Linked DNA regions of Drosophila melanogaster. Changing the gene in region 3 together with the main gene of any one other region gives a genetic interaction. Each region holds a gene or a part of one and is shown on either strand. Other genes may lie near its edges.

What was found.
Region 1: of ea (region 3) and Spn27A, changing one suppresses a phenotype caused by changing the other (phenotypic suppression), as found in Drosophila melanogaster (one study listed by BioGRID).
Region 2: of ea (region 3) and shn, changing one enhances a phenotype caused by changing the other (phenotypic enhancement), as found in Drosophila melanogaster (one study listed by BioGRID).
Region 4: of ea (region 3) and vri, changing one enhances a phenotype caused by changing the other (phenotypic enhancement), as found in Drosophila melanogaster (one study listed by BioGRID).

The regions. Positions count from the first base shown.
Region 1 is NT_033779.5:6,668,818-6,676,260, reverse strand, and holds Spn27A (serpin 27A), read left to right. Parts: upstream 1-2,913; 5' UTR 2,914-3,085; coding exon 3,086-4,429; 3' UTR 4,430-5,196; downstream 5,197-7,443. Other genes in the region: cort (cortex), read left to right, coding at 1-21, 87-501, 560-931, 990-1,139, 1,199-1,461; CG34310 (uncharacterized protein), read right to left, coding at 1,736-1,955, 2,033-2,202; cup, read right to left, coding at 1,947-1,960, 5,748-6,497, 6,571-7,315, 7,374-7,443.
Region 2 is NT_033778.4:11,170,963-11,178,605, forward strand, and holds the start of shn (schnurri), read left to right. Parts: upstream 1-2,840; 5' UTR 2,841-3,812; coding exon 3,813-3,843; intron 3,844-7,643.
Region 3 is NT_033777.3:15,325,988-15,332,633, reverse strand, and holds ea (easter), read right to left. Parts: upstream 3,906-6,646; 5' UTR 3,702-3,905; coding exon 3,641-3,701; intron 3,552-3,640; exon of another isoform or gene 3,455-3,551; coding exon 3,068-3,454; intron 3,004-3,067; coding exon 2,273-3,003; 3' UTR 2,226-2,272; downstream 1-2,225. Other genes in the region: Fkbp39 (FK506-binding protein 39kD), read left to right, coding at 1-18, 86-930; mRpL9 (mitochondrial ribosomal protein L9), read right to left, coding at 1,077-1,751, 1,809-1,880; CG6236 (uncharacterized protein), read left to right, coding at 4,589-4,707, 4,854-5,004, 5,071-5,258, 5,321-5,924, 5,982-6,342, 6,399-6,646. UniProt on the Drosophila melanogaster protein: Component of the extracellular signaling pathway that establishes the dorsal-ventral pathway of the embryo.
Region 4 is NT_033779.5:5,302,602-5,312,951, forward strand, and holds vri (vrille), read left to right. Parts: upstream 1-3,048; 5' UTR 3,049-3,423; coding exon 3,424-3,565; intron 3,566-4,963; coding exon 4,964-5,311; intron 5,312-5,419; coding exon 5,420-7,119; 3' UTR 7,120-8,622; downstream 8,623-10,350. Other genes in the region: CG14024 (uncharacterized protein), read right to left, coding at 9,709-10,350.

The DNA.
Region 1 (7,443 bases), on a different chromosome or scaffold from region 3:
GAGCGAGATATCCTCGAAACGGTGTGTGCAGTACTTCTGGCTATATATACTTTCCATTATTAATTGAAAATGACTTTTACAATCAGGGTGTCACTTTGACCGCCAGCTACTGGCGACAGAGCGGCTTCATATCGAACATCAACCGAACCTTTGGCATCGGAGAGCGCCGCCTGTTTCAGTTTAGCAGCCAGCAGGGCACAAGATCCAGGGTGGTCGATAACGACTCCGCCGATTCGGACTGGCCATGTAATCCACGGGCGCGACCATATGCCATTCAGAATGCCACCCATGAGATGCCTGGCATATGCAGTCCCGTCGACTACAACATGATGGACTGGTCGTCCGGCGGCATGGTGGCCATGTCCTCCGGACAGGATGTCATGCTGTGGCGCAATCTGGACGAGAGCACCATGGTCTTCAGCGTCGAGTCGCCCACTTCCCTCAAGTACTCGCCGGATGGCAAGCACCTGGCAATCGGCTGCATGGATAGAAACTATCCAGGTATAACAGACCCTAAGCAATAACTTTGTAAAGCCCTAACCCTCCTCTTTCGTACAAGTTCTGGACCTCTGGGAGGTGAGGTCGCCTACGGAGTTCTTGGTCTCCTACCGCAAGCTGTTCTTCAAGTCCATGGGCTACATAAGTTGCATTGAGTGGTCCCACGACGGCAAAGAGGTCATCTGCGGCACTCAGTGCGGCGTCATCATCGTGCTGGCCATGCCCACGCTAAACACCCTGATGCAGTTGCGCGAGCATCGACACACGGTGAAGAAAATGAAGTTTGCTCCCACCCATAAGTATTTCGCATCCAGTGATACGGATGGCAAGATTTTCATCTTCGATGCGGTGCTAAAGGTTCGCCTGCTCAAGTTGGACGGCAGGTCCATAGTCTTTGACTGGCATCCGTGGACTGGAGAGGATTTAGCCGTTGGTAAGATAGTGGCAGATTAATTATTAGAGTATCTGCAACATGAATATTATCTTAACAGCGGAGCGAAGCCCTGCGTCGATCTTCATATTCAACATCCCGCGCCGACAATTTGTGGCTTCGTACAGGCGCAGGGATGACAGAATCGTTATAAAGACACTAACATACAGCAAAATCACGGGCGAGTTGCTGGTCAACGTTATTCGGCGTGGTGAGAACTGCACTGGATCCTTAATGCTTGCTAAAAATAATGTATTCTAATATCTACAGATGATGCGGACCTTGCAGTGTGCGAAATTCTGGTCTTGGCCTCCTTAAACCGCGTGGTTGACTTGATGTCCCATCAGGATCGCGGCACCCTCTTCCTGATGTGGAATCCGGATGGAACGAAAATTGCCACCGGCGGACTGGACGACACCTTTTCGCTGTGGAACTTCTTTCCCACCTATAAGCGCGAGGCGATATTGAGAAAGCAAGAGCAAAAGGCCAAGGACAAGTGCAGCTCCCTGAGCCTGTACAAAGGCATACGGTGAACAGAGCACAGTGATTTTTAATTGTTTATGTTTCTAGTCTTTTATTCAAACCATTTGTGCTTTTCATTATTTATTCAATTCATATTACTTTCATAAAAAATCCATTCTGTTTAACTCTAAAATGAACACAAGAAGATGGGCCTCTCCACCCAAAGTGAAGGTAAGAAAGTAAAAGTCCATTCATTGTTCACCATGTTACAGCGTTGAAATTTGGTAACTAATCACTAGGCTATAAGTATGTAAAGATGTCTATGACGGCACTGGCAGCCTTGGCTCAATATTCGCTCCGTTTGGGTCTTGACTCGCCAATCTGGGAGTGAACCTCCTGCTGGAAGAGGTACTCCGCACTGGCCTCGGCTTCCAGGCGTCGTTTCTCGAGAAGATAGGGTTTGATGACAAGGCGATGGGTGGTGTAGAATATAACAGTCGATCCAATACCGATGGCCATCAGACCAACCGTCGTTGTGGCGAATCTTTTGAAGCCGTTAATGAAACTCATCTGTGGGCGAGAACGGAATTCAATTAATATATGACTTTAGCCAGCAGATTAGGGTTTAGTGTGCGGGCTAACTTTGTGGTTCCACTAGTTTCAGTTACTGCTGGCGTTTCTGCCTCGGTTTTCTTCTCGTTTTTGTACTTCAAAATCAGCGGTTGCCAAATGTAAATACCGCCTAGCAGCCCAATGGCCGTGACCACCATCAATTGCGGAACAGTGACACCACGCGGACGACGAATTTGCATGGCACGTGCGGTTACTTTGGCTATTTATATTTATTTCTCATTAAATGCACAAGTTTCTTTCGCCGGCTGCTGTTACATCAACGCACCATGAGAATTTATTTCAGATCAGCTGTTTTGTTTAGCCGACACTTACCAACACTGAGTTCTATAATAGTTGTCAGCGTGGCCAGACTATCCCCGACACAACTTAAGCTTATTTGAAATTCAAATTTCTATTAATAGCTATTCATAAACTGGCTTGAGTATTTGCAGCGGGCGTGAAAGAAACTGTGACGTAGTTTAAGAATAATAACATTTGCAAACTTTCCTCTTTGATGACTATGCAATAATTCACAAATAGCTGAAGTGGGGAAAGCCTAATAAAGGCGGATATTGTTCGCAACTAATTTGTACAAAATAACAAAATAACATTCATAATGATGAATGATCCTTAAATATTTGTATAGGTTTTTTGGTTAATCCTGTCAATACAGGCATGGAAATTCTCTGAGTGCACTGATGCACTGTATAGTCTAGTCGTTTCCCTTCACTTCCCTCATCACTTAACCACACTCATCACTTTGCGATAATGACGTACGTATGCTTTGGGAGTCCCAACAAAAAAAACACACATGCGCTGCCCCGTCGACGCGGCAGCACAGCAGCAGAGGACGGCGTCAAGAGCGGCTTGAAGCTGGAGCTCGATTTTAAAATGGCCAGCCCGCTCGGCGCACCAGTCACTCTCAGTTGGAACGGCGCGTGAAACGGTTATCGCTCGCTCCACCGGCGCTCTCTCGCCGCTCGCCCCACCAAAGCCCGCATTTAACAGTTGTTTTGCTGCGAATAAGAGGCTGAAAGCAAAGACCCGAGGAAGATCGAGACGCAGAAGCTTAGGGAAGCACAGATGACAAAGATGGGCGGAAATTTGGCAGTGATGCTGCTGTCGCTGTTTTTGAGTGCGTTAGCCACGGGCAACGGCAACTCCATACCGACGACCACGACGCCCCAGGGCGTATTCGAAACCCGTACGGACAAGCTGCCCGGTGGCGCTGCCAGCGTGCCCAGTGGAGCGGGTATCTACGACGATATAGATACCTTTGTGCCCTTCCGGAGCGACTCGCACGATCCGTTCTCATGGCATCTACTGAAGACGGTGCTGCAGAACGAGACAGCCGACAAGAATGTGATCATCTCGCCGTTCTCCGTCAAACTGGTGCTGGCCCTGCTGGCTGAGGCGGCCGGAGCCGGAACCCAGACGCAAGTGGAGCTGGCCAACACGCAAACAGACATTCGATCGCAAAATAATGTGCGGGAGTTCTACCGCAAGACACTTAATTCCTTCAAGAAGGAGAACCAGCTCCACGAGACGCTCAGTGTGCGCACCAAGCTCTTCACGGACAGCTTCATCGAGACACAGCAGAAGTTCACGGCCACGCTGAAACACTTCTACGACAGCGAGGTGGAGGCGCTAGACTTCACCAATCCCGAGGCGGCGGCAGATGCCATCAACGCCTGGGCCGCCAACATCACGCAGGGCAGACTTCAGCAGCTAGTAGCCCCGGACAACGTGCGCAGCAGCGTAATGTTGCTGACCAATCTGATCTACTTCAACGGTCTGTGGCGGCGGCAGTTTGCCACCACATTCCAGGGATCCTTCTTCCGCAGCAAGGACGACCAGTCGCGGGCGGAGTTCATGGAGCAGACCGACTACTTCTACTACACCACCTCGGAGAAGCTGAAGGCGCAGATTCTGCGTCTGCCCTACAAGGGCAAGAACTCCCTGTTCGTCCTGCTGCCCTACGCCCTGAATGGCATCCATGACTTGGTCAAGAACCTGGAAAACGACGAGCTAAAGAGCGCTCAGTGGGCCATGGAGGAGGTGAAAGTGAAGGTGACGCTGCCCAAGTTCCATTTCGACTACCAGCAGAACCTTAAGGAGACGTTGCGCAGCCTGGGTGTGCGCGAAATCTTTGAGGACAGCGCCTCGCTGCCGGGATTAACCCGCGGCGCTGATGTCGCCGGCAAAGTAAAGGTGTCTAACATCCTGCAGAAGGCCGGCATTAATGTGAACGAGAAGGGAACGGAGGCCTACGCAGCCACCGTTGTGGAGATCGAAAACAAGTTCGGTGGCAGCACCGCCATCGAGGAATTCAACGTAAACCGGCCGTTTGTGTTCTTTATCGAGGAGGAGTCCACTGGTAACATACTGTTTGCCGGCAAAGTCCACTCACCCACCACCCAGAACTAAGCCTCTCAGGCGGTTTTATCTTTAAATACGCAATAAATATACAAACAAATGAGAGTCTCTGCGCTTCAGTTAACCTTAATATGATGTGAAAAGTGTTGCAAGTGGATAAGCTTTCTAATACATTTTGCTGAATCCTACAAACGAGAAACGAATCTGTGCTCTTGACCCCTTTTTCAGTAATCGTGCGTGGCGACGATTCCCCCAGCGAGTCGGTTCCCATCTACAGGCCACAACATTCCGCTGGCTGATAAAGCCACTGGTGCTGTCGTTAAATGTTTGTTTTTATATTTATGCCTCGCCCAGGCATGCCACGAACAATTGAAAGCAAAAGGCAGCAATCAAGTGAGAGATGCAAATACCTGCTAACTCTGGGAATGTCCCACGAACGTAACATCGGCAATATCCAATGGGGAGATCGATGGGTAACCGATTGCGCACATAGTCGACGGCAAATAGAACCCATGACTCAGGGGGCTGGCTGAGATGTTGTTCGACTGGGAAATCTTAAGTTTGCGTAGTTAGCCACGTTCTGGTGATCTCTTGAACAAACAAGGAAGCCAGCTAAGCTTGGGAATTTAAGCGCAGCTTAGAAACAAGTATATGATAAAGTTTGTTAGCTTAATACAATTCAATTGCTATTCATCAATGAAATCATTATAAAAGTCCTAATGTTTTCTAGGGCTAAACGATGTATTAACGAAAAGTGTAAACAAGGTCTATTAGTTTAAAAGAAAAAACATATATATATATATATATTAAGCTCGACTAAATGCCCTATCTCTCATGTTTTATTTATCTTTCTGATTCGAAACTCCAGCCAGCTCATCCTTGTAGAGGCGTTCAAGTGATAATCTGAATCAACAGCTTGTAAATATATCGCAGATGTGATCAAGTGCATTGCAAAGTGTGCAATGTTTGCAGTAACAAAAACCCGTTTACAGATAATACGTGAAAGTGGTCATCAAAGTGCATATTTGCTCTGCTTTCGAAAAATCAGCCTGAAAATTGACCGTCTGACTCAGACACATAAGCGAAATACCAAGAAGGGGAGGCCATTAGGCAGCTTATTAACTATAATATTACCGTAAATGATAACAACTCAGCACAAATGTAAAAATATAAATTTCCTCCCTTGGGTATTAACCCGACTTTTAGAACTATGACCATAACGCTGTCAAGAAACTACAAATCTAACTGTTATATGTGATGACTTTGCTTTCAAAGCACAAATGATAGGGTAAACTTAACGGAGAGTACCCACTGTACGATTGTATCATAATATAATAGATCTTCTAAATTAGGTACTAAAATGACTTACCCCCGCTGTTGGGCAGCATGGAAATAGCTGATTGAGCTTGCATTTGGGCCTTATTGAAGCTATTGACAGCTCCAGCGTTGTTCTGATGAAGCGAATTCAGCTGTTGGGGCTGCTGATGGGGATGTTGCTGCTGAGACTGTTGGTATTGCTGCTTGTACTGCGTGGCGAAGTGCGGCTGGTTGGACTCAAAAGATTGGAAGTTTTGGTTATCACCGAATCTCAAATTGGAATGATGCTTCTGCGGCTGTCCATTCATAGGATAACCAGAGGCGTGGTTATTGCCACCGCCAGAGATCAAGGCATGGAGCAAGGCATTCGAGTTGGCATCTGGTCGAGCCTGGCGTTGCTGGCCACGGTTTAGATATTGCTGCTGTGCCTGATGCTTGGCACCGCCATTGATAAGCTTCGAGGTCTGCTCCTCAATTTTTCGCTTCATTACGGCGTTTCGCATTATCACATTGGCATGCGCTTGCAAGTCCTCCTGCGACAGTTGGTGCGGCGCCTGCGTCTGTGGATTATGCTGCGGCTGCTGCCTGGCTGCAAGAGTCTGCTGGACAATGGCCAAGTTGTGGAGATTCTGCAACTGGCTGGCGATGACCGTGCTTGAGAGCATGTCCAGCTGCTGCTTGTGCTGCTGCTGCTGCTGCTGGGTGTTGGTGAACTGCAATACAGCAGTGATGGCCTCGCGATCCATGTCCGTCAAGCGTGGGTTGGCCAACTGCACCAGCAATCCGTGCTTGGATATTTCCCCTGGGAAGTAAACAAACCAAAGAATCATATTGAAAACATGGAACTAACTTTGTTTTCATCATCCAATCGTCACCTTTAGTCAGACGGAGCAGTAGCAATTGGGTGTCGGCCCGGCCGAGGATCGCCTTCAGCTGCAGGCTCGCCAAAAAGGCGGTATGTTGCTGCTGCTGCTGTATGATGAGGTGCTGCTTCTGTTGCTGCTGCTGGTACTGCTGTTGCTGCATTATAAAGTTGGAGATGGCATCATAGCCAACCGCCTGTGACTGTGGCTTAGCCGAAGAAAGAGACCCAATTAGCTTCTGGAAGTTATCAGTCTGCTTGTTGGCAGTCTCGCCAACATTGTTCAGTGAGTTTCGACGCCATTTGGCCTCCAGCTGATCCACCGAAGGCATCTGTCCGATGTGGCCCAACGATTTGGGCTGCTCCGGATTGTTGCCATGACCCTGGTTAATGGCCTGCTTGAAAAACTCGTTCAGCGAAGAAGACGAGGAGTTCCCCTCATTGGCAAAGAATGACATGAATTTAGAGTTGTTCGTGTTTGTGTTCGACTGCTGCTGCATTTGCTGAGGCTGCGTTTGCGGCGGCTGTTGGTGATTAACATAACTGCTACTCTCGTAATTCTGTTGGCTTTGATTGAACTTATCAAACTGAAACGAACGGCCACTGCCTGGGCGTTTCTCTTCCTTTTGTTGCTGATGCTCGGTAGCCATAACATTATTCATGTTCTCCACGTTATGATTATTGTTAGTGTCGTGTTTGGGCATGTATTTGCTTCGACCCATCGGCTCCGCATGCGTCCATTTGTACTTATGGTCCATCTGAAACGAGTTATCTTATAGATTGCGTCATGGATTGAACTAAGTGCATAATACTAACCTTTTGTTTTGACGTTTCTCGCTCTGTTTCGCCTAATCCGTGGTTTTTGTTGCCCTCCTTTAGCATTTTC
Region 2 (7,643 bases), on a different chromosome or scaffold from region 3:
ATTTGGCCCAAAGCGTGGTCAAGTACTACACCCACACACACACACACACACACGCACACAAAGAAAGCCAAACTTAGCCGGGGGCATCGCATTCAGACTCCTCGGGAACGCCATTCGTTATGCATATGATCAATTAAATACAGAACATTTAACAGCAGCCATTTTTGTGTGGTCCGAAATACGGAACTAGAATAGTTTACCGCCATTTACCGAAACATAAAAGGTCATGGCGAACAATGAATTTCCTATTTTACTACTTTTAATCAATGGGATAAGGGAAAATAATGCTTGTTCATTCGCAGCGCTGGAAGTTCAAAAACGTCTATTATAATTATTAAAATCAAATGATTTTTGGGCCACCGTAAACGTAATAAAACGTAATAATTATTTTTGCAAAATACAGAGCTGAATATTAAAATGTTTCCTTTATCTTTTTGCCAAATTTCCATAATGAAAGATACCTTGCCATTTCACAAATTCAAGATCATACAATACAAAATAGCCTGAAACCAAATCGCAGTACAATGAAATCGTGGAATTAAATAAAAAGCCGTCCTATATTCAAATTATACGCTATTTACCCTTTTGTTTCACCCCAGTAACCAAAGATAAAAGGTTACGAAAAAATTTCGTCATTGAACTGAATTATTTTGTTTACCAACCTAAAAGAATTCCGATACAAAAATTACAATATACAAATTAATGTCATATTTGAGAACAAAGGCGTAAAAATAATTAGTAACATCAAACGAACAATCATCAATCAAATTAAATAGATTCCCAGGAAAAAAAAACTCTTTTAATATCAAATAAAACAACATATTTCTGAAACCCTTTTCCACTCAAATTGAAGGTATGAATAATATTTCTTTTTTTTTGCGCCAGTTTTTCATTCAGACACCCGTTGCGGTTTCTTTTGTTCATTTTATGGAAATTAAAATTGATGATATTTAAATTTGGTGATAATTGAACATTATTTTTATGGCACTCACATTTGCGTTTTATTTCTTTTGCTGGCTTATTTGGTTGGAATGGTTCTGTTTAGATAGAAGAATAGAAGTATGTAGCAAACACACTTTTTTGAAACGATGTGTGGAATTTTTATGAGGCAGCTTGTAAATAATTTTTTTTTTTTCTTCAATTTTGTTACTTTCGTTTTTCAACTGGATTTCCCTGACTTTTCAACAGACCGGTCTGTTTGATCCGCACTGTGATCCTTTCACGCGCTCTGTTATTTTCCGACTGCAAGTGAAATTCCGACGGACGTTTTTCATTTGGCGCCAAAGTGTTCGGCACCACGAATTTCCCCTCCTTCCAGCTTCCAGTTTCGAACTGCTTTCGCACTGGAACTGGAAGGCCTTCTAGCCGGGCGAACATACACACGCACACGAACAATTTCCAATTGGGCGCCTGCGCCAATTGTAAACAAAGAACAGCTGTTCGAACATAGTACATATATTCGTTTTCATTGACGATGGAGCATAGTATAACACAGGGGGGGGGGGGTGCAGGGGGGTTAACTCTGAACATAAGGATGAGTGATGTGATTAGGGTGGTCACGCGTGCGGCTCTAATAAATATCAATGATTTGTGAAAATTCTTAAAAGAAACAAACCACATTTATTGAAAGTCGTTTAGGCCAAACATCGTATATCTTCCCATATGAATTTAAATTGAAGGGCGGCCGTTGGCGTTTTGGGGCTGGCAAATGAGGCTCAAGGCCACGCCTTTTACTTGTCACTTTGGCTGGGAATTCTCACAGCTGTCAGCCAAAATCCCATCCACTTGACATCGCCATCGCCAATGTTCTGCGATATGTTCTTCTTTTCTTCACATATGTACATATTTTCGCCAGCACTTAATTTCCTTTGAAGCCGCATTATTTCAGCCTTTCGACACCAGGCGTTACGAGGCGTTGCGGCTCGAACAGCTTTCGACTGGGCCCAAAGTGTCTGCCTTAAATGAATCGGAAACATTAATGGCTGTATCAAAGAATAGGACGCCTTCATTTAAACGTCTTCATTTAATTCATCGAATTTGCTATTTTTATGCATATGAATATTAAATTAAGTCGAAACATTACTATCATTGGAATGGATACGATTCTATGTGCAGTAATTAAAATGTGTTTCAACAGAGTACATATCTTAGAATCAAACTTCATCTATAATTTAGAATAATTTTTAAACCATGAATTAAATGTTTATCTTCGTTATTTTCGCTGCGAGTTGCAGCAGCTAGTTTATAAGGTTTGTGTGTTCGTCCCACCAAGTTTATGATTATTAAAATATATTATAATGACATGTTTATATTTTTAGCAACTCCTTATAATTAATTTATCAAATCGCCTAAATCAATGCTTTTCCACTGAAGCACCATGTTGTTTTTTGATATTGCATACATTTAGGCTTAGAAAAGTATTACCTTTTTATCAATTGTGTGGATAATCTTAAAAATGTAAATTAGCAAACTGATAAAACAGACAACCCAGGTATTATCACAGCGCAGGTAAGCCAAGTAAATAACGCTTATCATCTGGAGCTCCTGCTATTGGCATTTAAGCTTTGGACACACACACACACACACAATACTGATAAGGCGACTCTCTTAGCGAACTCTCTTCGCTGCTCTGTGAGTGGGAAAAGAAAAAAGGTAAACAGACAAGTTGAAAGGCGATTTTCGATTGAAACGAAACGGCTGGTCGAATTGAAAGCCACTTACGTCGCTCTTTGGCTCTCTCATTTGTGCGCCAAAAGAGAGCTCACTTTGGGTGTGCTCTTGGCGTTCGGGCTTTTGGCTTTGGCTTTGGCTTTTGGGGGCCTAACGGATTCTCGCTGGCTCTGTTTGTCCGTGAACGCCGACGTCGACGCACGCCTCTCGTTTTCGCGCGCTTCTCGCACTTCTCGGTAAATGCGCAAAAAAGCCAGCAACGAAATCAAATCAAGTCAAATCGCAACGCATGGTGAATAACATGTCCGTTTTATTAATAGATTCCGCAACAGCCATATAGCGCATATTTCGAAAGAGATATATAATATATATGAAATAAAGTGAGGCCCTCGGATGAAACAGTGTTGATAAGGAGTGTACATACATACACACACGCAGCACATAAAACTGAAAGAATTCGCGGCGCGCGCGATTTAGTTGCGAATATTGCGTATACGCAGGGTCTGTCAAAAGTAATACAAATCAAACAAAACCTACCACAACAAAAATAAGGAACGGCATATCAAACCGAACATTTCCGAATTGAGGTTTTTTTTACACAGCGAGCAGAGGATACGCCTACATGGATTTATATAGCACAATTACAGCAACCAAGGATACTGAGACTTGGGCAGGATAGCAGCGATGCCAGCCAGCGGGTTGCAATCTCCACCAGGTCGACAGGCAAGCGGCATATCAGGATAATACCAGGGACTTGGACATCATGGCTCCTCTATTTGTCTAGTTGGCAAATACCAGCGAACCGGGAACCAGGCCACACACACACACACCCATACACTCGCTTACACACACAAACACACACACACGCGCGCGCTCATACGCTCAGACAAACAAGGACGCTTGTCATTGTGTGCGTCAAGGACGTCGACACACGTACAAGCTTTGTTGCTGTTGTGCCATACAAACAGACCAGAACCAGTGTCGCAAGTGGGCGTGCCAGCGGGTAGGCGGCCTCTGATTAAATATACATCAGTCAAGCGCAAGGATCCTAATTTCCAGCAGTATTGTTCTGTGCAAAAGGACAACGGGACAGCGGACAGCGGACAGCGCCAAAACGGGACACCAACTTTGAAGCAGGGAAAATGGCGCGACGCAAGGGCAGCGGTCGAGGCAGTAAGTACATTTTCCTGTTAATTATTCAAATCAAGCGTGAGTTCGAAAATATGCCAGCGAAATTCCGGGAAATTGCCTCTTCTCAAGGATTTTAAGCTATTTTGCAAACGTTTCCATAAAGTGTTTACAAGGAAAAGGGACCCAATATCCACAATTTCTATGCTGACTTTTCTTTGGAATCTTTATATTTAGTGGTTCTATTATAAGATCGAACTTTGACTGCTTTGTTCTTGATAACAAATTCACTCCAAGTAGTTTGTTGATTATTAAAAGAACTCCAGCGGTCTTAAAAAAATTGGGCTTCAGCTCAAGGACGACGAGTTTCACAGCTGCCATATGGCAAGACAGTAAGTCCTTGCTTCAGAGCTTCAAAGAATCTCGTCAAGTGCAGTGATTTTTTCTTGGCGGCTCAAAGGGAAAAATATGTAATTAAGAATGTATGTAGTATTCAGCCACGCCCCCACTCGAAACCTCTGGCTGTATCTATAAGATATATATTTTTTTGCATTATTATTTGTGTGCCATGAGTGCTCCACTCGCAAGAGAGAGAGAGAGAGAGAGGGACGGGGCGAGAGCAAAGAGAGGGAGGGCATGCATAAAACATGAAACAACAGCGTCAGTAGTCACTTTTCATTGCATTGCGCCCACGCCCAACCACCCACAGTCCCCTTATCATTTTAATTCAGTTGCGTTGGCGCGCGCGCTGCAAAATGTTGGGGATTCCCTTACGTAATCCCCCAGCGCACACAAAAGGCAAACAAACAAACAGGCACACAAACAAACGCACACTCACAGGGCAGCGGCAAACAAAACAAAAACACAAACGAAATGGGCAAAAGAAAGGGGGAAAAACAGAGAGCTGAAATAAAGGAAAACAGAAAGCGGGTGAAAAGCAGAGAAGCTGAAAAACAGAAGAAAAAAAAAACGTAAAAACAGACGCAAACAAGGCAGCTTGTTTGCCAGCCAGTCGCAATCGGAATTGCCCCATGTAAAATGGTCTGAAAATCAAGCTCAGCCAGCGTCATGAACTTTTGGCGCAGCTCACCCGCTCAACAGGCAGCCTAGCTCACAGATACGCAGATACAAAGATACAGATACAAAAGGCGCACAGTCACAGATACTCGACTTGCACATCCACAATCGCTATAGCCGAGATACTTTGCGTCACGTCACGCCGCCTGTTAGTCAAGTTGCTCTGTGCGCTGCGTTACTCATGCCACAATTTGAACCTATTAAAAAGCCAGATACTTTCTTGTGCCCGCCCCAACCCGCGACATCCGCAGATACTTTTGCCAAATGAGATACAAGTGTGCTGCCTGGCTTTTGATATATGCCAAGTACTGCTCGCTGGGCGGATACAGTGCGCATTCCATCAGCTGCAGCTAAATGCTTTAAATGAATTTACTTTTCATTTCAAAACCAAACCGACTAGGCAACCAGTAATTGAATATATTCAATCCGATCAATCACTTTTTTTTTATTGAACTTGATTTAATTAATATGTCACAACGTGAGCGTTTTATTTCGCCTTTTGAAACAATAAACCAGTAATTAAATATAACATTCTTAAATAAATATATTAAAACTATTTTATAGCATTTTAAACCAATTATGCTGAAATGTTATAAATATTTATATTCGAAATATTATTGTTTTAATAACAATAATAACAACTTAACTTTTTAAACAATGTTGTTGAGACTTTAACTCAACCATTTTGTTTTGTAAACCATGACCAATTGAAAATACTTGGCAACTTGGAGAGAGATTATTTGAAATACTTCTTAAATATATTTCAAAATCATCAAACCTTTAACATGAAAGTCGTCCTTCCATGGAGTACCCACTGTAGCAGGCGCAACATGCTCAAAGAGTTTGGCTCCAACTTGACTTCCAGCTGCCGATGGGTTTTGGTTTTGGTATGCAGACGACTTTGGGTATGGGTTTGAGTATGGTTGGGGGAATGGGAATAGGAATGGGTATGGGTTTGGGTTTTGAGTTTGAGTTTGATCTTTGAGGTTGGGTAGCTGGGCCGAAACACTTAAGCTGGCTTTGGCTTTGTCTTTGTCTTTGACTTTGCCTTTGCGTTGCCAGCGAGTTGGCCGTAATCTCTTTTCGCCTTCGTCTAACGACGTCAAAATTAAAATAGACTTTGCTCAGGGTTCTCGGAACCGTACTCGCATTGCCTTTTGCCTTGGCTCTGGGCCATTGTGCGGATAATTTATGGCGGGGGACTAGAGACCAGGGAATGGAAATGGAAATGGAAATGGAGTTGGGTGAGGAAATCCCACCCACTCCCTGCGGCTGGCATTTCCCCGCACTTTTATTTGAGAGTATTTTCATTCCATCGCTACCTTTGTTTCTGTTTCCCTTTGGCAACTTTGCTTGGCCCGTTCGCATTCCATTTTCCTTTTCGAATGAAAAAGAAAAGCCTTTAGTTTGCGTAGTTTTTGCCATTCAAGAGGGGTTGCTTTTCATTATGGCAGCCAGGAAGGAAGTGATGCAGGGCGTGGGCTTCGTGTTTGGAGTCCTCTCAAGTGCTAGCTAGTAACTGCCTATGTAGGTCTAGGTGTGGCCTAAACGAAGCCCATATCCATTTGATGATTGCTCTGATTCCGTTTGTAGCTCGGGATTAACTGGTTGGGTTAGAAGGGAAAGCTCTATTTGGCTTCAAATTGAAATCGTTTCAATAGATTGATTCCTTTGTGTTTAAAGATTATTATCCTTATTAATTATTAAATGATTCATGAACTTAACATTATAGCTTTTATGGTATAGTTATTTACTAACCTGGCTTAATCCAATACAATTTACAAAAATCAGGCAACAATCCCTAAACGAATACAATTTCCTGAGTCACAGTTTACCCAATCTGCCAAATTGGTTAGCCCCTTCTTTTTTGGGCCATATCATAGCCGTAAACAAACACTACACTTCAACTTTTCCTGGGACGCCTTTTAGGCCACGCCCAGAAAATTCTCTCTTCTGTCACCGCCCCCTCTCGACCACTAAAAAGGTCATGGCAGCGGGGAGGGCAACAAAAAGAACCAAAAAATTACAAAAAAACGGGAAGGAAAACAAGGAAAGCAGCGAAAATAAAAAGGGAAATAAATAAACGTGAACTGAAATCCAGGGCCCAACTTTACCTATGAGTTTGAGCAAAAATAAAACCCCATACCTGTAGCAAAAGGACCTGGCACACCGAACGAAAAACGTACATACTTACAAACAAACGTATGTATTTGCAGGGCAATGGCAAACAGCAAAAAAAAAATAAAAACAAGAAATTAAGGGAAAAGTTGGCAGCTGGCAAAAAAAAAGAAGGGAAAAACAAGGCAGAACTCATGTGCGTGTGTGTGTGTGTGTGTGAGTGTGCTGGCAAGCCTCTTCATCACCCAAATACATGCACACCACCCACACATTCAAGGCAAGTCTATGAAAGCGCAGGGCTTCCCCAAATGATAAAGTTTTATTTGCTTTTGCGGGCGCACATTGGATTCTTTTTTTTTTCAGCCACTGCTTTTTTCTTTTTTTTGTTTTTGTATATTTTGTGGGGCAGCTGGCAGCAGAGAAGCCGGCGTCGCCGTCGACGCCAGCAGCACTTCACCACAATAAAACGAACATTGAACGATGATGATGACGCCGAAGATGGGGCGTTGGGGGTGGTGGTGGTGTTGGTTATGGGGATGATGACGTTGCCACAGAAAGGCGAACATTAAACCAAGTCAACCAACCACTCGGGAATTGGCCAAGATGAAGCGAGCTGAGGATACCCCATAAAATGTGATACATTTTAGCAT
Region 3 (6,646 bases):
TCATGTTCTACACCGCCGGTAAGACCTTTTATGTCCACTATGTTCGCATGTTTATCCGTTTCTGACGCTTTCGTTCGTTTCACAGGCGACGCCAGCGTTTCTCTGTTGGGCTACTTGCACGACATTGATTCCGAAGATGATGAGGATGACGATCAAATGACGATCGAGAATTTGCTGAACTCCAAGGCGATCAAGAATAGCAAAAAGTCTGAAGATGATGAGGATGAGAATGAGAGCGGCGAGGAGGACGAGGAGGATACTGATGACGATAGCCAGATAATCGAGGAATACGAGTCCTTCCTCGAAAATGGTGAGGAGGAAGATGACGACGATGTTGATGAGGATAACGAGGAGAGTGGCGAGGAGGATGAACAGGACAGCGACGACTCCGAAGCTGAAGAGGAACAGCCAAAGGCCAAGGTTGCCAAGCTCTCTCCTGGCGCTAGCGCCAAGAAATCTGGCAAGGAGCAGAACGGTGTGGCCAAGAAGGAGGAGGCCAAGCAGCAGCAAAAGAAGAAGGAGAAGCCAGAGGCCAAGAAGGAACAACCCAAGGCCAAGGAGCCAGCCAAGCAGCAACCAGCTTCTAAGGATCCACGTACTATCACCGGAGGCGTGAAGATTGTGGATCAGGTCGTCGGCAAAGGCGAAGAAGCCAAGCAGGGCAAACGCGTATCTGTTTACTACATCGGCCGCCTGCAGTCGAACAACAAGACCTTCGACAGCCTCCTGAAGGGAAAACCATTTAAGTTCGCCCTGGGCGGCGGAGAGGTCATCAAGGGCTGGGACGTGGGAGTCGCCGGCATGAAGGTGGGCGGCAAGCGAGTCATTACCTGCCCCCCGCACATGGCGTACGGCGCACGGGGAGCTCCACCGAAGATCGGACCGAACTCCACTCTCGTCTTCGAAGTGGAACTGAAAGCTGTGCATTAGTGCACTATATTAACATCATATAGACTTGTAATCCTAAGTAAGTATCCACGTCGTACAACTTGATAAAAATGTTAAATAAACTCTGTTTTCCGGCTGTTCATAAATCAACAGTTTTGTAACAATCGCATGTATTTGGTATGGGGTCTCTAAGGGGTTTTTTCGGGTGAACATACATCCAGCAGGGGCTCAGACTGGAGTTTCCAGTGCTCGAGTACGTAAGGCAGCCGTTCGCTGGGATCTGTGCTCCAGTGGTGCAGACGACACTTGAGTCGCGCCTGTTCCAGCTTGTTTATGGTCACAGTGCAGTAGAAGTCCTTGTTCTCCTTCTTCAGGTCGGGTCCCTCGATGCGCTCCTTGGGCAGGGTAATGCACTCCTCGCGACAATAGAACCCAGTCTTGCGCAGCGAGGCCTTGATGTGCCAGGGCTCGAGCACCCATGGCTCATCCTTGTTCATGACCACCGCCAGCACAATGGTCTCCAGCATGTTGACCGTGCGCTGGGCGTAGGGGGAGCTGTGTTTAACAGTCGATTTTTCAGCCTCTGTCTTGGCGTACTTGGCCACATTCTCCGGCGTATTGTACGCGGCCAAACCCGGCAGCAGGAGCTTATTGTAGACAAAGTGCGGCTTCATTGACACCACGTCGCCCTTGTCGCCAACGCCCTCGACGAAGGTCTTTAGCACCACCTCGATGTTGGGCCGCTTTTTGACCAGCGTGTCGTCCACGAGCTCGTAGATGAAGTTCTTGGCCCTCATCCGGCGGGGTTTCTCGTTGGTTTTGTGCAGCGGCGGGTCATATTTGCGCTTCAGGACGAACGTGGTCTGGAAGCAAATTGGTGGTGAATGGGGATCGCTTCCCTAATCCAGGAGAGCACTTACCCGCACTTGCTGCTGCAGGCTGGTGGCCGATTTAAGCAAATTTAACGGCGTTACGTAGATGTTCTTCAACATTTTTACCACCAATATGTCTGCGTTGCCAGACTACTCAGCCAGTTTGCAGTGTTGCCAGATATGATTATTTAATCTGCGTGAGTTCAGCAGTAAAATTTTCAGTGACTTTGAAAACGATTATGAATTTAGTTTTTTTATTGCAACTATTTCTTTACATTTTAATAAAGCAAAATAATTTGCCCAATTTACCTTTTAATTGATTAAAAAAAATGTACCTTTGAAAGTATTATGACTGTCAATTTTAATTTAATAGTTTCATTACAAAATAAAAGATTGACTATGCCAATATTTCGGCGAACGCGCCCATCGACATGCAGTATGCGTACACGCTGTGAAGCAGTTTTTAAACGGAAACCGTTAGTCGAATTTATTTACAATATGACATTTTACAATCAGGACTCAATAGTGTTTTGTATCCAATCAACGTACTTGCCCACCAGCGTGTAAACTCCTGGCCATCCGGCCAGACCGCACGGAGTCGGTCCAAATGACACGACGCCGGCCAGGAAGTAGTAGGTGTTCACCTTGTTGGTGTCCAAGCCGATGAGCGGTCCCCCGGAGTCACCGCGACAGGAGTCGACGCCTTCCTTGCCGCCGGCACACATCTGTGTGTCCTCGAGGAGAATGTCCTGGCTGCTGTAGACGTTCTGGCACTCATCCATCCGGAATCCCTCCACGGCTGCCTTCAGCTTGAGGTTGCTGGCCGACAGCTGCTCCGTTTTGCCCCAGCCGGCCACGTCCATGGTGATGCCGTCGAAGGTGGCCGACCGCAGATTGACGTCCAGAGGCAGGCAAATGGGTCGCACAAAGTCGGTGTACTCCACCTGCTGGGCCAGACGCAGCAGGGCTATGTCGTTGACCTGGTTCTTGGAGGCCGGTATATAGTCGGGATGGGGTATAGTACGCTCCACGGGCACGTCCAGATGCGGTGGCGCGCAGTCCTTCATGCCGCGCACATCTACTTCGCAATCGGGATTAGTGTTGGTGTCCCATTCGCCCAAACGAACACCGGACAACCGCCAGTCGGTGGGCAGTGCCTTTCCGTTGACACAATGCGAGGCTGTGATCACATATCTTGTGCTGATCAAGGATCCGCCGCAATGGTGACCCTTTTTGCCCTGGCCTGCATGTAGGAATTAACCAGTGGATAAGTGCGTTCAGACTTAAGACGATGCCCCTCTACTTACTTTTGGTGTATTCAATTAGAGCCATCCAGGGGAACTCGTCGATCTTGGTCTTCATTCCGCCATAGATGCGATTGGACAGGATGTTGCCGCATTGTCCTGGCAGCGGCAGAAGGCTGTTGCTGGTTACATTGGGCTTGGGCGGTGGCGTCGTCTCCGATGAGCTCTCCCTGTAGCGGTCCGGACAGCAGATGAGCACCTTGCCGTTCGTATAGCCGCACTGGCTGCGACTCAGGTAAAGCCGGTCCGTGTCCCGGAGCGGGGTGGTGGTCAGCAGGCCGTATAGGTACTTGCAGTCCTCCAGATGGATGCACAGCGCACGCTCCCGATTCGGCGTTATGCAGCGCCCATAGTTGGGCACCTGGGCCGCCTCGTTGGGGAAGTAGAACTCTGGAAATCCAGACTTTAGGTTCAGAGAGCTTACCAATATTGTGAATACATAAATTAGGTCATTAGCTATGGAAGTACGGAAACAGGTTTCCAGCGACTTGTGAAGGCCCGCGGCAAAAAAAAACAAATACGTTAAGCTAGTCATGTCCAGCAGATGAGCATCTTGGCAGTCTTCTATTTACTTACGGCCCGCCGATGATTTCGCCAAAATGCCCAAAAAGAGGCAGATAATCGATGGCTTTAGCATTTTCGTTGCGCAATCGGACCTCGTTAGTCCTTTCTCAAGACGTCGTCAGTGGTTTGCGGATAATGTTTTGCCTAAAAACAATATTACAGACCGACCGCAGAAGCAGTTATCAAAATAAACGGCGCGATAATATGGACGATACCAGGTGCCACAGCGGAGCGGAGTGAAACGAAGAGGCCGAAGCTGAGCTTGGCGCACAACTGAATCTTCGGACGGACGCGGTTCTCGGCCTGCGAGCTTTGTCGCAAGCTTTTTGGCGAGTCTCCAAATCAGATATGAAGATAATCGTGGGAGCAGATCTTTATCTCTCTTCCAATTATTATTCTTAGTAATTGTCAGTTGGCTTATTTAACTTTGGTACTAATAGAATTTACTTTGTCACATGCTGAGTGTAAGTAAAGTACTCGGCAAATTTAAGGGAGTATCTACCATTATTTAATCCCCGCCTAAGTTCGATTGTATCACATGGTGTTTTGATAGCAAAAAGCACTATCATTAACGATAAGCTAACGGTATATTTCGTTCTACAGCAAACTGAAAGTTCTACCGACTTTAAATCGGACCTAAAGCAAAGTTTAAAGTCGCAGTTTAAATTGCAGCGGTCGCGTTGCCAAACAACACAGTATGACCGAATTCGCAATGTTGTTTGCCACTGTTTTGGCAACTCGCATATAGCGGTACGTCGCAGCTGGTGATAAGTTAAATGTTTAATTTAAAAAATGAGCGTGGATATTTAGTAAAGGTCGAATAGGCGGCAAGTTTGGAGATCGGCAGTGGTGTAAGTAGTACGTCGCTTGAGTGCCGAGTGAGTGCTGTATGTGCAGCAATAATGCGAATGCAAGTCTCATGTGTCTGGTCCGATATTTGCAGCTCATAATTTATTCAAAATGCGCTTTGTGCGGCGGGGAACTGTCCCCAAGATTGCAGCATGTTGCTGTGTGGTGGTCCTGCTGGTCACCTGGTATGTGTTGAACGTGGAGCGGGATCTGGATAAGAGCCTCAAAATGTAAGTATGTCTAGTTGTGCGTCACAGCGGCTTGGGATATTGATTGTACGATGTTTGTCCATACATATGTATATGTACATATGCGCATATTTGTGATAAAGAGTATTTATCTTTTGCAACTAATTCAATTTTGTATTTAATTAAAGCGAAATCATCGAGCGCTCCATAAGATCGGCTGTGAATCGTGGCGAGTGCCGGCATCCCCATCTGCCGCTGGACAATCCGGACATCATGAAGTTCTACAAGCCGGTTGAGCGAATAAACTGCGGCGAGGGCATGGACTGGGTCATGTGTGAGGTTGGTTGGGACTGGGCCCCTTCTACAAGAGCTGATTGCTTAACTTAAACCTCGTTTCCCCCAAAGAAATCCATTTGCTTTGTGCGACCAGAGATTGCGTCCAGCCACGAGGATGTGATCTGCTCCTACACGGACATTATTCGCAAGTCGGACTACAAGGTTCGCTTTGGGCAGTCACTGCGCATGAAGGAGCCCTATGTGCTGCAGGCCAGCGACTTTGTCAAGGTGGTCTGTCGATCCTCCAGCGGCGAGAGGTGACCATTATCTTATTTTATAGTTATGCCTATACTTTAAAGAATGATCTTCATGTACTTAGTTGGTTTGGCATGGCCCACGGAATACGGGATACGGTGCCCCGTCCACCGGCCTCCAATTTCTCCCCGAACTTGGCCGTCCTACCACCCGAGGCGGTTGCGCAGGCCCAGCAGCAGATGCAGGATGGGGCCACAGCTCCCATCTACAATGTCCTCATGTTTGGCTTCGATTCGCTGAGTCGCAATGCCTTCATTCGCAAGCTGCCCAGGACCTACGAGTATCTCACCCAACAGTTGGGCGCCACCGTTCTCAAAGGCTATAACATTGTGGGCGATGGTACGCCACAGGCGCTGGTGCCCCTACTGACGGGTTTCACGGAACTGGAGCTGCCGGAGACAAGGAAGCGGTTGTCCGGGGCAGGCAGCGTGGATTCGTATCCTATGATTTGGAAGGATTTTGCCCGCCTGGGATATATGACCTCCTTTAATGAGGATTTGCCCAATGTGGGCACTTTCACGTACCGCATGACAGGGTTTGAGGCCCAGCCGGTGGACCACTACCTGCGTACCTACTATGTCCAGGCGGAGCACATGGCCGCCGAGAGCAAGCCCAACTGCATTGGCCACCAGCCTGATCACATCACCATGCTGGAGTACACAAAAAACGTATGTTCTCTTTCGAAATGTGCTTGGAAACTAACTCATTGTATAATTTTCGTACAGTTTATGCTTAAGTATCGCGATGCACCGCGCTTTGCCTTCAGCTTCCATGGCGGCTTGTCCCACGACTCCATCAACTTAGTGGGAGCAGCGGATGATGATGTCCATGACTGGCTGGTGGCGCTCAAGGAACGATCGCTGCTAGACGACACCATTCTCATCATGATGGCCGATCATGGCAATCGATTTGCCGAGGTGCGAGCCACTCTGCAGGGAAAACAGGAAGAGCGTCTGCCGTTCTTCAGTTTCGTATTTCCCGAGTCGTTTAAGAAGCGCTTTCCGCAGGAGTACAAAAACTTTCTGGCCAACGAGCATCACCTGACCACGCCATTCGACATTCATGCCACGCTGAAACACGTAATACGTATGTACGACAGAGCGTTAGACATCTACAAGATAATAATGCTGGATTTTTCACAGAACTGCAAACCGCTGTGGATCAATTTGGAGAAATAAACGATCCGAAAACTGAAACAAGCCCGCCTGGGATTCGCATCTCGGAGTTAGCCCGTGGACGTGCCATGTCGCTGTTGGATCCAATTCCGAGCAATCGATCCTGTGCGGATGCCTACATAGAGCCTCACTGGTGTGCCTGCCTCAATTGGCTGCCATTGCAGCTGAACGACTCCCGGTATACGGGCATCATTCTCAAGGCTGCCCAAAGTATT
Region 4 (10,350 bases), on a different chromosome or scaffold from region 3:
TACCAAGATTAGAAGTAGTAGTCAACTTAAATGTGTGTTAACTGTATACTAGGCAGTATAACTTGTCATCCTAAGTCATCGCATTATAGGGTATACACCTATTCGTTTCTATCTGCTTACTACAACAGTAAGAATTACATGTTGTGACAATTACAACTACAATTACCGCAGCGGCACAATTCCAGCGAGCACGTTGCCAAGTAACAACAAAAACCTTTGGCGTATAGCAATCAATGCAATGTGCAAACAAAATTCTTGCGAAGATTTGCATTTTTTTCTATTGGGATTGGGCCCCCCTGCAAGTCGCACATATGGAGGGTGTTATGGAAAAAAAAATAATATTAGTATTGGAATCAATCTAGATACAGTGGAAATTCACAAAAGTGAACTGTAATAATATTGCATATACGAAGTACAGCATACTATGCGTATACGTAATATTGTCGTATACTTTATACAGCACACTATGCGTATACATAATATTACGCATACGTAAGCATCTTTTTAGAGGAAAAATTCAAAAATATTATTTGTAAATATCAGGTTATAAGCTAGATATTACTTCTTAGGTAGATAGCAGTTCCTTCTCTCGAAGGACCACTGTATCAGCTAGGGAACAAACGCAATAAGTGGAGAACACGTTAATTTCCATTTGGCTTGCGTAGCCGACTCAAGTCGCCAACATGTGAGCCGTCGCAGGCCGGCTGTTGGGGAGCGTTGCACTAGCCGCTGGTGCCTCACATTCCACGACACGTGACCGCTCCGCCGATTGCCGGATAGCCGGGTGGTCGGATTGCCGGGTGGCGGGATTGCTGGATTGCCGATTGTCGAACGTGGAGCGTCCAGCGGCGAACGTCGAGTCAGCGCGCACGCCTCTTGCTGCGGAAAATATAAATAGCGCTGCTATAACTTGACTGCTGATGCAGTGGAATGGGGAGGGGTGGAGCAGGGGGTTTTCCACATCGCCTTTTCACGGGGTGCTAGCAGAATCCGAGACTACACAGTCGACGTCGACGTCGACGACGAAAGTGTTTCGTAACCGTTTTGGGCTAACTACAGCAATTCCTCCCTATACCCTATACCATATTCGAGTATGAGTGTGTCAAAACAAACCAAAAGATGAGTGTTGGCATCCCGGGGCAGAATGTTAGTATAGAAAACACTACACAAACCAGCACACCACAGCAAACAGAGTGGAGTGTGATAAGGGCCACATTACACATACATATTTGCATACTGATAATGGATGTGCCGCAGATTACGGGGTATCCCAGAGGGGTTGGTCGGGGGGGTCTGGCCCACCATCCCGACGGATCCGACTACGATTGGTCCGGACACGTGAATCGGGCGACTCACGTGGATATCGCGCAGTGATCGCGTAATTGAGATTTGCTCATGATCATGGAACTGGAAGCTGTGCAATTGAAACTGCCAAGTGTATAGCCAGATTACATAAGGTAACGATATTTAGTAGAAAATTGCTATGCCCCAGGAGGATAGGTCAGTTATAGGCTCGTACTTTAAAACACTAACATTATACAGTGGTCTACTGACTTAATGCAATATAGTTTTCTTAGTTCTATTATTAGCACTGATAAAGTGCACTTTATGTATTGCACTTTAATCAGTATTTATGTACATACATATGTATTTCATTTCATTTATTCTCCACTTTTCCGGTTTTCTGGCATTTGGTAATCGCCATCGAGAACTGTTTTTATGCGAATTCAATGGAATTTCTTCTTTCGATTCGATACTATTCACTGTTTGTTCCGCGTTAGTGTTTTACTGCCTGGTGAATAGGAAATTACGTAATATCTCCCGACCTTACTTTTTTACAACAACTCGTTGTTTGCCTAGTGTAGTACTTAAATAGCCGTCTTTGTCTTCCACTGCAACTAAGTTGATAGTCACCCCATCCATTCTGATAACCGTATCGCAGTGTTAAGCACTTAATTATGATTTATATAAGCTGTGAAGTGGTTTTGTAATAGCCAACCAGACAGTTTGGTGGCTGGGAAGTTATCGGCACGACCATATATTCCCCTTGTTAAACTATCCAAAGTTTCAAAGCCACGTGATCTGTCGATTTGTTCGTCGTACATTAAATAAATTGGTAATTGTATGCAGATTTAGACGAGTTCAATAGTTAGCTAGCACTGTTTACTGTTTACTCTACTCGAATTAGATTTTCTGGGAATTTATTCTGAACGCAAATATGTTTGTAGAGTGGGGAAACCCAAAAATTCACTGATTGGAACTTCAAATATACATATGTACGTATGTGTATGTACTTTAATGCTATACATTAAAATCAAATCAATAAGCTACATCTTAAGGCAAATACTTTTGCTTCCTTATCAATGTTCTTAAATTTTTAATTACCTTTCATAATGTTAATTAAATACGTAAGGAAATTTCCTCTAGTTATCCACTCTTACATGCAACTTAAAAAAGTGTCTTGCCTAAGCTTTTCATTCAAATCAGTTTTCCCAACTCCCCAGCCATTTGCATGTGTGCATTTGAATGCATTCTCGATTATTAATAATGTGCTGCTGGTTCTCTGAATATTTTGTGTAAGACGCTTGCGTCACCAACCCAACTGGCACACACACACAAGCATACTCACACGAACACATCGAACCCAAAAAGGGTAAAAAAAAATGAATACAACCAGTACCGAGAATCGGAATCAGAATGGGAATAAGAATCGCAATCGAAATCGGACTCACGCGGCCAAAGCACCTCAGTCACCTTACGTGTGTGTGCGTTCTTGTGTGTGTTTGAGCGTCAAGAGCGAACCCGCTGGCAAGAGCTACCCCACCCCCCGCAGCAGGCAATCACGTTCTAGTTTCGAATATGCAGCTCGAAACGATTTTGTTCTTGCCGAGATTGCCGCGCTGATTACTCAACAACAACGGCAATGTGATCGCTTGCAACGGGCATGCTGGTACATGTTCGAAGCGGCGATTGAGAAATTTCACTTTTACTGCATCGAACCGTTCGCAACATGTTGCGAGCGAACACGCTAGGTCGCGTGTATCGGATGCGTGTTGCCACAACGTGACCGCCGAGCAGCTCGTCGGAGAAATGCTTTTACAAATTCAATTGCGATTCAGCCTTCTTTCGAAGCGGTTCAGGCGCTCGCGATAAGTCTCTAGACTATACTACCAAACCATATAATATACAGCCGATCGGGTTCACAACCGCGATAAGCAAGTGAGAGCCGTCGGTCGAGCCGTTAAAAGCATTTCGGCCAAGTGCATCAAGCGCAGAAACGTCGCGTTAGCCAACTAAATCGGTCAAATTGGTTAAACCCCGAACTGCACAAGTGTTTGAAAAACAATTTTCAAAAGATTTGGATAATATCTGCAAGCGCACACAAAAACAATGCCAATTTGTTCGTTCTAACAACAAAACATTATGTCGATTGTCTGCACGCTGGAACAGAAAGTGAACTTTTTCAAAGCGGCTGCAACGACCAAAAATCTGTTGATACTCAAAAACAATACGGATACGAATTACATCAATAACTACAAGCAGGATAATCCCAGCAACAATAAATGTAGGTGTTCAAGTGCTACGAAAGTTATAACAAATAAATCAGTGTTACGAAAAGTTTAAAACTATGTGCTTCTTTGAGCAGCATTTTCGAACTTTCCACGTTTGATCTTGAAATCTGTTGAGAATTTGTGTGAAAACTGATGACAATCACAATATTTAAATATTTCTGCTCTTTTTGCGTAGTACAGTGGCAACTGTTAATCAGTTCTAGAATATTTACTAAACTTAGTCGGCTGAAAACAATAACACACGAAAGATTGAGACGCAAAACAAAATAGCCCGAAAAAGTGTGGGTGAATGGGGGGCTGAGTGGGGTGCGGTGGAATGACTGGCGAAGCTTAGTCATTTTGTTTTTGTGAATTTTGTCAAGATGCCGACTGCAGCGCTGCTCTCTGTGTTGCCCTCTCTGTTGCTCTCCCGTTTAGGGGTTGTCGGCAGAGTCTGGCCGCCAGAGCGCTTAAGTGTACGTGCATGTGTGTGTGTGTGTGTGTTTGTGTCTGCGAGCACATTGAACTGTAAATGCCAATTCGATGGTCATGGTGAGGGTGAGTGAGAAAGAAAGAGAGTGGGAGAAAGATGTCTAAGGGTACGGGAGCGGGGGCGCACTCACACACAGATGTGCAATGTGCGATTTCTTGTTTACATTCTAACACTTTGTCTGTGTGTGTGTGATTGTGCTGGTTCTTCGTCGCCTTTGTCGTCTAATTCTCGCTCCCTCTCTTTCTCGCTCCCACTCGCCGATTCTTGCATCATTCGGCGTAATCATTGTGTAAATGCCTGTGCTAAAAACGAAAGCAAACGGTAAAGCTATAGACGAGGGCAAGCAGCAAGGGCAAGGACCAACGAACAAAGAAAGTTCTGCATGTTTGTGTGTGCGTTGGGCCAGACAAGATCGCATTAGACATTTTGGGGACCCAACGAGTTTTGCGTTGAGTGGCGGACGCCTTGTCAATTTGTTAGCTTATCAAATGCTCAGCCTGATTAGTATTACTAAATATGTATATATTTTCTAAATGTCGCATATGTAGCTAGATAAGAACATTTGAAAGAAATGCCATAAATAGGTGATAAGTGATATTGTTTTGGTAGCAGGAAAGAGATATTCTTCGCAATCTTGGCTTTTAATTGGGGGCAAGGTCTTGTTTGTTTATTATTTTCGGGGCTGCAAAAAGTGTAGTCTGCTTCCAGGCGCAGGAAATGAGTGTTGTACAAATTGGTAGAACGCTTTAATTTGAATTCATAACAGAGAATAGTTGAAATAGTTTAAAAGATCTTAAAAGTGCTATACAATACTTTTTAAAGGTATAAATAAGTTTAGCAATATAATAAAATAAAATACGTCCCTTCTTAAGGAACTATGAATGTCAAAGAGACTAACCTCTCTATCTTTGCATTGCAGTTCCCCGCATCCAAGCTCAAAGCAACAACAGCCATCTGCAACACCAGCAGCAACTGCAGCAGAAACTAGCGCAGCTGCATCACTACAGCCAGCAGAAGCTGAGCGGCAGCGACTTTCCCTACGGGCCACGCCCCCCCACCGGAGGCAAAGAGGAGAAGCTGCTCCTGCTAGCGCCGCCGGGCAAACTCTATCCGGAGGCGTCTGTGTCCACAGCAATGCCCGAGGTCCTCAGCGGCACGCCCACCAACAGCCACAACAAAGCCAACATCGCCATGATGAACAACGTCCGGCTATCCAATATATCGCCGACTCTCTCGATGAACGGCAGCTCCAACGAGGCTTCTAACTGTAAGTGTCCGAGAATATAATGATGCAGTGGCTCTGATCATATCAATTATCTATCCATCTATAGTTCCAAAGCTTGAGAACTAATCCTATGCCCTTCTCTCCTTACAGTGCATCCGTTGTCCATGTACGGAGGATCCATAAGTCCGCAGTCAAATGACAGCGGCATGTCCGACAGTCTGGGCAAATATGTCCCGGGAAGCGGCTATGGAGATGGAATGATGGCCCAGTCGCCCTCACAGGGTGGCAATGGACCGCAGTCGGCGTTGACCGCCGCCCAGAAAGAGCTCTTCTCGCAGCGAAAGCAACGCGAATTCACCCCGGACAACAAGAAGGACGAGAGCTACTGGGATCGCCGGAGAAGGAACAACGAGGCGGCCAAGCGGAGTCGAGAGAAGAGGCGCTACAATGACATGGTTCTGGAGCAGCGCGTCATCGAGCTGACCAAAGAGAACCATGTGCTGAAGGCCCAGCTGGACGCCATACGCGACAAGTTCAACATCTCCGGCGAGAATCTGGTGAGCGTGGAGAAGATCCTCGCCTCGCTGCCCACCAGCGAACAGGTGCTGAGTAACACAAAGCGCGCCAAGATGAGCGGCAGTGGTGGCTCCTCCTCGGGCTCCTCGCCCTCGGGCAGTGGATCGGGCGAGGGATCGCCTCAAGGTGGCCACAATGGCTATCCGGTGGGTCCACCACTATCTCCACTGATCTACGGACCCAATGGCAATGCCCGGCCAGAGGCCACGGTTAAGAGTGTCCACCACATACATCATGCGGGTGTTGCGCCGCCACCAACGCACCTACAACAGTTGGTTGTGCCCCAGTCCCAGACACAGCATCTCTACCAGCCACAGCCGCAGCAGCATCAGCCGCATCAGCAGCAGCAGATTTCCCAGCCACCGCAGCAACAACAGCAGCAGCAGGAGCCAAGTCCCAGTGCCGGCTCCAGTTCGCCAGTCATCTCCGATCCGCACAACCGCCCGCCAAGCACCACCATTGCCAATCTCCAGGTGCAACTGCAGCAGGCACTAAACCGCAATGTCAGGCCCGAGGATCTGGACAGCTTGCGCAAGGTGGTGGCCGCCGGCGCTCTATACAATGCGGCAGCCGTGGTGGGAGCACCACCACCGCCACCATCTGCTGGTCTCTACGTGCCCGCTCCCAGCGCCTATAAGGATCACCTGGAAGCGGCTGCAGCCTGGAGCCACAATGTCGAGGCTGCTGTGAGCAGCAGTGCTGTGGATGCGGTCAGTAGCTCATCGGTGTCCGGCAGTGCGGCCAGTGTGCTGAATCTATCGCGTCGGGCCTGCTCACCCAGCTACGAGCACATGCTCTCCTCCACCACCTCCTCCACTCTTTCCTCGGCCTCCTCATCGGGAGCTGTTTCCGGCGATGATGAGCAGGAGCACGAACCAGCGCACATGGCTCCACTGCAGCTGCAGCGAAGCAGTCCGCAGCAGGGCAGCGATGCCAACAACTGTCTGCCCCTCAAGCTGCGCCACAAGTCCCATCTCGGCGACAAGGATGCGGCGGCCACGGCGCTACTCTCACTGCAGCACATCAAGCAGGAGCCCAACTGCAGTCGGGCATCGCCGCCGGCTTGGAACGATGGCGGCGACAATTCCAGCGACGAAAGGGACTCCGGCATCTCCATCGCCAGTGCGGAGTGGACGGCGCAGCTGCAGAGGAAGCTACTGGCGCCCAAGGAGGCCAATGTGGTAACCAGTGCCGAGCGCGATCAAATGCTCAAGTCGCAGCTGGAGCGCCTAGAGTCCGAGGTGGCCAGCATCAAGATGATCTTGGCGGAGTAAGCAAGCCCCTGTCCAAGCTGGACAGGATCACGACTAGGCGGATCAGGAGAGAGAGCGAAGAGACAGAGGCTCTGAAGGGATCAGAGTCGGGGGAGCAGAGCAGTAGATGGCAAAGCAGAGAGTTCCATGGCGCCAGTAGTTCTCCTGGACAAAGAAGTTGGTTTAAGCATATGTTAGTAGAGATGTCCAAAACCGAGTGATAACTATTAGATACCGATGCATGCATGTCTCCATCTCTATGTAGAACTCTAGGGCCAGGTCTGGACCACAAGGATTTGACACAAGACCCTGTGGCCCGAAACTGGCCAACACTTATCTGTGTGTATGTTTATCTATCCACTGTATTGAGTCTTGTAATCGTGAATGTTTAACTATATAGATCTCGTCAACTCGGAGCTAAAAAAAAATCCTTAGGGTCAGCCCAAAAGAATTTCTAATTTAACCTGTTTGTTGTATACACACAAGCTATTTGTTTGCATAGCTAGCTGGTGACCTGCGATGAGCATCGGGGTCACCAGCCACGTTATTGTTCTCTTATGCATCCCAAGTTTCCTTATGCACAGCGAAAGTGGAGAAGATAAAGAATTATTATGTTTGTAAGCAAACGTTACAAAGTATTTGCTGTTGTACATATTACACAATTAATTATATATACTATATAACTATACAGATATCTATATTCCTATCATGTACATAATTTTAGTTGCAAGCTAAGCTTATTTTATTTTATTTTATTTTACTTTGTATTGAGTACTATTATTATTATTATTATTATGTAGTGAAACAAACATATACATTACACTTAAGAAACGCGTGAAGCACATTCAAAACGTGAGAGATGAAAGAAATCTGAAAAGAATTGATGAATAAATTCTGCAATAAATAATTTTAAATATCCTCCTACCTTAATGTTTGTCGTTCGCCATTTATTTATGTTTTTTGCCGCTTCGGTCACCCGTGTGGCTCACAGCGCTTCAACTAAATGTTATCGAAGTTTATAAAACTTTAGAAACAAAACTAAAAAAGAACTCTAAGCCACACAAAAAACACACATTTTATTTGTAGACCATCTAGCTGAGTAGATCGATCGTTTGGTGTCGTAATTCGAGCATTCACTTTTAAAGCTGTATTACACTTTACAAATAATCGCAGTGGAGCACACAAGAAAATACATATGACTACTACTATATACATACAGCCCTATCTATATGCATATTAAAATAACTCGTTTGTGTTGATCAATGAAAATAAACTATTTATAATAATGAAACAAACCAGCAAAGGTCTTTTACTGCCAATTGTTTACTGCACTTCAATATTCGCCGGTTTGTTGGGTGTGAATCATACACAATTATTGTATATCAGCAAAGTGCAAGTTAATCTATTACACAGCTTTTTAAAAATATTACATCACCATCATCGCACGAGCTTATCGCATATTGCAGAATGAGTTAGTTGAAAACCTGAAAACTTTCCAAAATGATTTCAAACTTCAGGTACGTCGAGTGGTAAAGAGATTATTTATTCTTAATAACTTTGTTGCCTTGTATTCATACAACGAAAAAAAGTTTTGAAAATTTAAATTTATTTAGAATAATATCGTGTTACTTTTCGATTCTCTGTTATCATTATCATTCGAAATACAGTATAAGTATAATAATTAAATATTCTCTGTCTTTATAATAAATCCTTAAACATCACATGAAAAGTTTTTCTGTTGGGTTTTTGCCTTTGTTTTTATAAGTTCTAAACACTTTCCTTTCGTTCTTTGGTATCATTTTCATAATTTTTTCATATCGGGAAATCGAATATTTTCCGCTTGTTTCGTTAGCCTAGGAAAAACGTATCTAGAGTCCACAAAAGTTATAGACTTAGATCAAGACCTGTTTATAAATTTCGTTAATATATAGGTATATATAATAACTTAACAATAGTAAGTACCATATGTTGTGGTTTTTGAGGGTTTTGGTATCTGGGGATTCGGTTGTAAATACGTGTAAATACAGAATTTCATTTGGTGTAAGACGATTTCTCACTTTCTGGTTGTATAAACTCTCCAGCCTTGCCTTGAAGATTAGCATTCGCGATATAGGTAAAGAGGTCTGTATATATCGTTTAACTATAATATCTATATATATATAATATATCGCTTTTCTTGTGGGTGTGTGTTTTCGTTTGGTTTGAGAGTGCATCTGTAAATTGTAGGTACTTATAAACTAGCTACAACACAACACACATGCCACGCCATGTAAAATTGTAGGGTATCCTGTCCGAATTTTTGGTGGCTGAAAAAATCCATCAAAATGCTAAATCTTCTAACTAAGTTTCCTTTCGAATCGTTACATCGTTTGCTTTCTTTTTTTGGCATTATCTAAGAGAGGTCAAGAGTGTTTTTTTTTTTGGTTTTTCGTTTTTGGAAAACGTTGATTTGGCCATAAACTTTTTGGTAGATTTGTTAGCTTCGGTTGGGTTCTGTTTTCATCGTGTGAGAGTGTTTCCTTTGTCTGTGGTCTGAGTTTTCGTGTAAAAAGGTACATGATAAGATTGTTTCACGACTGATCGATCCCAAACTCCTTGACACCACTGCACCTACGTCGCCTGACCCTGGGTGGACTGGCCAGCCAGGCCAGAGGATATCGATGGTGTCGTACTGGTGGATGCGACTGCCGGCCCTCCGGATGCGGCAGTGCTCTGCTCCAGACTCCACGGATGCACCATATCGTAGTACCTGCGATAGTCGTAGTCAAAGAGCTCGAAATCGATGCGATATATCTTGAGCAATTGGTCCAACGTTGAGCGGTCGAGATCGGCGAAGTATCGCTCGACCAGGGCCTCGGATTTAACGCCACTTCGCGCCTGGTTGCCAATTTTGCGCTGCTTCCGCTGCGGCAGCTTGCCCAGTCCCAGGAGCAGCGATTCCAGGCCCGCCTGCCGTATGATGAACTCCGAGTCCCTCTGGAACGTCTCCGTCTTGCCGATGATGGTGAAGTTAACGCTGCAGGGCGTGCAGAAGCTGTAAACTGGTGCCCAGTGCTCGTCGAATCTCTTGCCCGCCGCATGCTCGGCGATCAGGAAGCGGACGAACTCCTCGAAGGTGGGTCCACATCGCGGCCAGGGTCCGCCCAGATTACGCTTCCTGTAGCGATGCACGATCTTGTTGCCCAGCGCCTTGTAGAAGGTGTTCTTGTTGCCCTCCAGTTTGTTGCGATAGGCGCTCAGGATTCGCTCGAA